2 linked regions of the Schizosaccharomyces pombe genome follow. The protein of the gene in region 1 interacts with the protein of each later gene in a pairwise test. Each region holds a gene or a part of one and is shown on either strand. Other genes may lie near its edges.

The links.
Region 2: the proteins of sec31 (region 1) and tnr3 interact in a two-hybrid assay, tested with the Schizosaccharomyces pombe proteins (one large-scale study listed by BioGRID).

What each region holds. Positions count from the first base shown.
Region 1 is NC_003423.3:1,397,798-1,401,725, reverse strand, and holds the start of sec31 (COPII-coated vesicle-associated protein Sec31), read left to right. Parts: upstream 1-2,088; 5' UTR 2,089-2,217; coding exon 2,218-3,928. Other genes in the region: TIM23 translocase complex subunit Tim50, read left to right, coding at 1-1,308. UniProt on the Schizosaccharomyces pombe protein: Component of the coat protein complex II (COPII) which promotes the formation of transport vesicles from the endoplasmic reticulum (ER).
Region 2 is NC_003424.3:1,317,196-1,321,123, forward strand, and holds the start of tnr3 (thiamine diphosphokinase Tnr3/ Nudix hydrolase fusion protein), read right to left. Parts: upstream 1,784-3,928; 5' UTR 1,608-1,783; coding exon 1-1,607. Other genes in the region: Rho GDP dissociation inhibitor Rdi1, read left to right, coding at 2,651-3,268.

The sequences.
Region 1 (3,928 bases):
CCTTTTTTGCCCCTTGTTGGCAAACGGTTTGTGACTGAGAAAAGCCAGTCGCAAGAGGAAAAGGACACATCAAAAATCACCGAAAACGCAAAAGAAGAAGTTAAACGGGACACTTCTTCACTTGCGAAAGAGTCATTAAAATTACTTGATTTAAATGGTTTGAATGATGAGTCCTACACTGGAGACCCTGGAAAAGGACCCGAGTATACTAGTTCAACGATGCTAAAGCGAGAAAAGCAGGCTCGTTATGCATTTTGGGGTTTCTTGGGATTAACGGGAGGTGGTTTACTTTACTACGGTCGTCGCTATGGTCCTGATGAGAAAGAACTAGAAAAGCAGTATCCCGCTGCTGGTTATTCCCCTTCAGATTGGTGGAATAGGGTAAAGGCCCGTACAAATAACTTCTTCTCTTACTATCAGGAGCCTGCATTTGAAAAGTTGCTCCCTGATCCTCTTCCTGAACCTTATAATCGACCTTATACCTTGGTCTTAAGTTTGGATGATCTTTTGATTCATAGCGAATGGACTCGTCAACATGGTTGGAGAACTGCAAAGCGTCCTGGTTTAGATTACTTCTTGGGCTATCTCTCCATGTACTACGAAGTAGTCATCTTTACTAGACAGTATTTAGCAACTGCCAAGCCTATCATCGATAAGATTGATCCATACCACGTAAGTATTAGTGCCGTACTTACTCGCGAGTCAAGCAAATATGAGAAGGGTAAGGTTATCAAAGATTTATCTTACTTGAATCGTGACCTGTCTCGAGTGATCATGATCGATACGAATCCCGAGTCATGGTCCAAACAGCCTGATAACGCAATTGCCATGGCTCCATGGACAGGAAATCCTAAGGATAAGGAATTGGTCGGATTAATTCCTCTTTTGGAGTTTATTGCTATCATGGATATTAAAGACGTTCGTCCAGTTCTTAAAAGTTATCAAGGTAAAAACATTCCCCTTGAGTATGCCCGCAGAGAGGAAAAACTACGCACCAAGTTAATTGAAGATTGGAATGAGAAGAAGAAGAAAGGCAGTTCCTTTTTGTTTGGAGGACGGAGTGTATCTGAAGAGCCACCCAAATTAATCATTGATATACAGCGTGAGCGACAAAAGGCTGCTTATGCTGAATTTAAAAAGTATATTGACGAAAATGGACCTAAAATGCTTGAAGAAGAAAAGGCTCGAGAGGCTGAACAAAAAACAAGCATCTTTAATCTTCTCTTCCATCCAGAAGAGGTTCAGCAACAACAGTTAGAACAAATGCAGCAACAACAATTTTCACCCGAAACAAATGCTTCCAAATAGGCTTTCGATGAAACCCGTGTCAGCGTTTCCTTCCTGAAGAACATTCAAATGAAATAAGAAAAAGGAAAAATTAAACAATAATACGTCCCTTGTGCTTGTTGCTGACTGACACAATGCGGTATTCCGCTTTATTTTGTTCTCTAATTTATGAGAAAATGTAACAACTTTCAAGTCGTATCATTCTGCTTATTTTGGCTTCGTTTTGTCTCATGCCCATGTCTTAATACTTCTTTTACAGGACGACAATTTTGCTTTGGTACTTTGGATTCCTTTTCTCCACCCAAGCTCCGTTCTTTCTAATTCATTTCTCCTACGTTTCCAAGGGTATTGGTGCAAATTCGAAATCTTATTCAAAATTTACTTCTTATATTCAATTCAACCTACAAAAAAGTATTCTTTTAATTTTTTCCTTACTGGTTTTTTTTGTGTACGGACCATGCTGGGAATACGCTGGTCTTCCGAGTTTTTGTTCCTTTATACTGCGCACTTAAAGTGTTTACCTTCTTGGGTCATCCTATTTAAAAATTTGACTGACTATGTAAATTTCCACCAAAACAGGGTATCTATGAATTCTTGTATATAAGCATCAATCAAGGGTTTCCTTCATTTTCGTAATAATAATAATATTGTCCATCTATTTTTTTTTTACTTTTAGTGAGAATTTACCACTGAGTTCCAAAGAAAGCTTTATGTACTGCACTATGTGTATTATCCTTTGTTACCTATGCTACCCTTTAGCCTACTACTACCACATGTGGACTATATGTATTAAAAGAAACTACTAAGAACCAACCACTTTAAGAGCCCACACATCATACCAAACAAAAAACGGGTTAGCTCGCCTGTTATACTATAGTTGAAACAGGATAAAAAGGAGTTTTTACAATATTTCACAAGTTGGTGTGAGTTATGAGACTGAAGGATATAAGCAAAACGGCTACGTTGGCGTGGTCGCCCCGCGGGGTGAATGATAACCAAGCTCTGTTAGCGTTAGGAGGATATACCGGGACGGAGGGTTCTAAAAACAGCGACACCTTGCTTGAATTGTGGAATGAAAATCCTGAATCACAAAAACCCGTTGGATCTATCGACGTGAAGACTAGATTTTACGATTTAGCATGGGAGAAATCGTTAGATAAGCCCATGGGTGTAATCGCTGGTAGTTTAGAAGATGGCGGTATTGGATTTTGGGATCCTGCTGCTATTTTGAAATCAGATGAAGCGTCCGCTTCAATTGCTACCTATAAATCCGAAAACGGCTCGATTCTCGGCCCTCTTGATTTCAATAGATTACAACCCAATCTTTTAGCCTCTGGTGATAATAAAGGTGATGTTTGGGTTTGGGATATCAAGCATCCACAACAGCCTTTCGCTCTCCCAAAACAAAATCGCTCCTCCGAAGTTCATGTGGTTTCTTGGAATAACAAAGTTTCACATATCTTAGCTTCTGGTAACGCTACTGAATACACTACCGTTTGGGACGTTAAGCTTAAACGCCAAGTCTTGAATCTATCATATTTGGGTGCCGCCGGTGTTAGCGCAGCTACCGGAGCGGTTAACAGTATTGCTTGGCACCCTAATAATGCCACTCGCCTTGCAACTGCTATTGATGATAATAGAAACCCCATCATCCTAACGTGGGATTTACGCCAACCTACTGTTCCTCAAAACATCCTTACCGGACACCAAAAGGCTGCACTCTCTCTTTCGTGGTGCCCTGAAGATCCAACGTTTTTGCTAAGTAGTGGAAAGGATGGGCGTGCTATGGTTTGGAATGTTGAAACTGGCGAATCTTTGGGCAGTTTTCCTCGTTCTGGTAATTGGTATACAAAAAGCTCTTGGTGTCCTTCTAATTCCAATCGTGTTGCTGTCGCTTCTTTGGAGGGTAAGGTATCTATCTTTTCAATTCAAAGCACAAACACCGACAAGAGTCAAGAAGCCTCTATTAAAGGTGCTACCTCCATAGATGATAACGAATTTTTTAACAATTTGCCCTCCATTGCTGGATCACAAGAACCTTCGTTTTCACTACCTCTTGCTCCCAAGTGGTTTAAAGTACCTGTTGGTGCTCGATTTGGCTTCCCCAACAAGATCGTTAGTTTTTCGCCAAATTCTAAAGAGGTCACTATAACCTCTGCTCCCGATGAAGTTGAGCAAGATGAAGCTAAGTCCTTCCATTCTTCCGCCAAATTTCAAACTGAAAAGGAAATTACTGATTTTTGTCAGAAAGGTGTGGAAGAATCCGCCTCCGAAGAGGAGGCCATAAATTGGAAGCTACTTATGGCCGTCAGTAAGCGCGCTTCTAGGTCTAAGTTTGCTGAACTTTTGGGTTATAAGACATTAAAACCAAAAAACGATGAGGATGACAGCAAGGTAGACGAGTCTGTTGCCAAGGATTCAACAACACCTAATGAACTTTCAAAGAATGCTAATAATGAGAATTATGATGATGATTCCTCTTTTTATGGGAAATTAGCCGAAAGTGTGCAAGAAGTATCTATAGCTGACAAGAAGGATGCTGAGATTGTAAAAGATTCATTTAAGATCTTCAATCCAGAAGATTCTGACTTAGAGAAAAACATCACTGAGGCGCTTCTTACCGGTGATGTTTTATCGGCCG
Region 2 (3,928 bases), on another chromosome or scaffold:
CAAATGCGATCCTCAATATTCCACTCAAGGCCGCTGGTTTTTTTAACATACACACTCTGTCCTACTGGCAGAAGACCGCAATGTAAACCAATGTTGTCGTGACAATCAACATGATTTATTCCGGGTTGAAGCAAAGTTGATACATTCAATTCAGTTAATAGAAATACTTCATTCTTTTCAGAAATCGAGGCGGCCCAGAATAGATGGTTTAAATTACCAATGGCATGATCAACTCTTCCACCCATGCCACATAATACAAAAATAGTATCAATCCCATGTTCTTTAATTATTTTATGGCATTTCATAAAGTCAGTGGTGTTTTGGCATGGGTCGAATACAATGTTGACTCCCATTTCTTTATAATAAGCTTTAGTTTCATCTGTTAACGAATCAAAGTCACCAACGACATAATCCGGTTTGAGCGAAGAATCGTAATTTCTCAATTGGTTAGCACCACCGTCTGCGCAGACTCGGATACTAGCTCTTTTCCATAAAGTACGAAATCTATCATCCGGTATATCTATGGGTTGATTTAATAGTAATACCGCAAACTTTTGATCAGTATCATAGTCACGTAACCAAGCCTTACATGGAGCTAGCTGATGAGTGGCTTTTTGGGGTTTTGCAGGAACACACGTTTCAGCTTTCTTTGAAGTATCTTCAAAAGAATCCCCTCTTTCATATTTTCCAACAGGAACAGGCAACGGTCTATGTATCCGTTCTAAAGTTTGGAGATACTGAGGATGCTGTGGAGTAATGATACCATGACGGATTAAAAAGTCTAAAAGAACCAGAGCACAATTTGGCTTAAAACTTTTTAATTCAAGTTCATGAAGTACTTGATTCAATGGTAATAAACTGAAACCAGCGACTTCTCCATCATTAATTCTTGGGATAACAAGATCATCAACAGGTAAATCGAATACATATTGTAACTCGGGCTGAATCCAATGCCTTTTCTCCATTTTGATGTAGGAGACAGTGCCACAAGGAATAAGATTCATAGAAGAAACGTCCAAATTAGCTTCTTCAGAAAATTCCTTTATCATAGTGCCTATGACTGAATCACCATGAGCAATTCCGCCGGCAACGCTATTATCTAAATAATTGGGCCACGTTTGTTTAGTCGGTGATCTTCGTGGTACCCAAATACGAAGAGGATGTTCTTTAGTTGCTGGAATATACATGGTACAATGCACACCAGTGCTCAAAAAACCGAATAACCAAAATCCGCCCCGTTCAACGGCCAATACAGGCTTTTTAGATTTTCCATAAACAGTATATAATTCATTCCTCCATTGATCAGCAATTCCAAATGTATTGTTATGGCGCCAATGCTCCAGTACCTTAGCTAAGATGTCAGTTCTTTTTTCAAAAGTAGATGCGTTTATTTCAATATACTCTCCTGGAACATAAACCCAATTGAATTTGAAATTATCCGCCTTTATGAGGATTTCTAGTACCAAAGGGGTAACATATCCAATGGCAGCGCCATTTGCACGGAAGGGAATTGTTCCAGGAACAAATTCCCCATTAAAAGAATCGCATTCATCTAAAAGCTCTTCGGCATTTAATTGTTTAGCAGAGGTGATAGACGACATTGCCATTACCTTGCCCAAATTTTCCTCTCAAATGGATAGTGTTCTAAAATAAAACAGGAATAAAAAAGGCTAGTGTATTTATGCGAAGGAGACACTTATGGTTCAATTCAACATAAATAGAATAATATATAAAACACCCTATACTAGCAAATGGTAAAAGCTCAAGGAAACTGGTTCCTGGTAGTAGAAATCGGGTAGTTGACTAAAACCTTATCGTATAACGAAATGCTAATCTATTAAACCCCTTTCAAAATGATCTTTAAAAACAAAAAAGAAGTTGATATTAAACAAACAGTACCTTAATCAAGGTAATCTAGTAATTGTCTTTCAAGAGTGTGGTCTACGAGGAAAATTACAATGGGAGCAGAACTCCGTGCCAGGAATGTCTTGGTATTAAAAATAATAGCACACAGATTGGCTTACTAATTTTCACTTTAACACCAACCGCCGTTTTTGTAATTAATTAGGGTTTGGTATAGTTAAGCGTATCTTTCACATGATTTTTATTTTCAGTGGACTTCCTTCGTAAGTTTTTTAATAATAATTCCTGAAGTGATTGATAATTTTTCCGCTAAACGTATCAAATCTGGTTGTATAATAGTTATCGACTACAGCTATAACTTGCTGCTCAAACAATTTCATGTAAAGAACATCTGCCTACAGAAAAGCTAGCATAGAAAGTTCCTTCTTTTTTACGTCTCATAAGACGTCAATGCTTGGGATTACTCCAACATATTTACATGTATAAAAGCATGGATAATGACACTAAAAAAAAAATCGAAGGGAATAGAAAGAAAAAAAAAATCTTATACTTTTCTCACGCTTTTCTGCATCTCCGTTATATTTAAAATAATCCAAGTCACCGAAATGTTAACATAGTAGTACATCTGGTTATATTGTTGAGATAGCAATATGCTATGTTCCCTTTGCCAATTTCAACTCTAGAACAGTACATTAACAAAACAACGAATCTGAACTTTTTTTATAAAAACAAATTGTCCTTGGTTTAGCTACTGGCAGATAATTAAATTCTATTGCGTTGTTTTAAAATGAGTGTTAACAATGAAGTATCCGCTGATCAACATAACCCTGAACTAGAGGATGATACATTTGAGCATGGACCTCCGGTTTCTCTGGGAGAAAAGAAATCACTTAATGAATATATGAAGATGGATGCCGAAGATGAATCATTGCAGAAATGGAAAGCATCTCTGGGTATCACGGGAACAGGTTATTCACCCTCGAATGATCGTAGAACAGTTGTTATTTTAAAGCTGAGTTTACTTGTTGACGGCCGTGACCCAGTTGATGTTAACATGGAAGATGCAGCAAGTGTCGAACAAATCCGCAAGAAAGGGTTCACTATTAAGGAAGGAAGCGAGTTTAAGATTGGTGTTAAATTTCGTGTACAACACGAAGTAATTTCAGGCTTAAGATATGTCCAAACTGTTCGCAGACGTGGCTTTGTTGTTGACAAAACATCTACCATGATTGGCTCCTATGGACCTTCTGAAACACCTTATGATTTTACCTCTGAACCAGATGAGGCACCTACAGGTATGCTGGCTCGCGGACATTATGAAGCCAATGGAAAGTTTGTTGATGATGATAAAGTGGTCCATCATGAATTTGTTTGGGCTTTTGACGTTGCAAAAAGCTGGAAGTAGTCATTATTTATGCCAGCCTTATTTTTTAAAATCGTAAATTTCAAATCTACTTGGTTATTCAAAATTCTCGGTATTCAGTACTATAAAGAAATTTATAGTGATGTTTTGTTACAAAGCAAACATTTTCCTTTTTCTTACCAATTTCTTTCACATATCGGTGTCTGGACTACAATTGAATATGGTAATGACGATTTCTTACCACCTTCTTCAGTGAAACTTTACTTCACCCAAATATCTCGGATTGTTTGGAGATTGCCTTTTGTTGTGCAAATTACTTTTATAGCTTACATATGATCTTCACATATTCCCCTTTAGCAATCTACGTTGTTTCTTTTAAATCTCGTTCCAAAGCTTACAAATGCGATATTTTGGAAGGATATATACATCCGACTATATTCTTTTCACTGAAATTATGAGTTTTGAGATTTTGATTAAATTTTTCCAAGTATCTTATACTTTTCCACTTTTCCTTGTTGTCACCAAAGAAGTACATAGAAAACAATACAAATAGCTATTAACTAGCCTGATTAGTCCCTTTGATGGGAATTACTAGAATACTATTGTAACGGTAATAACTCATTCTTAAACTCATTTCAACGTATCTCGCTCGACTTTGAGAAAATCCTACATAGTGCTTGAAACTTAACTTTTTATTTTAAT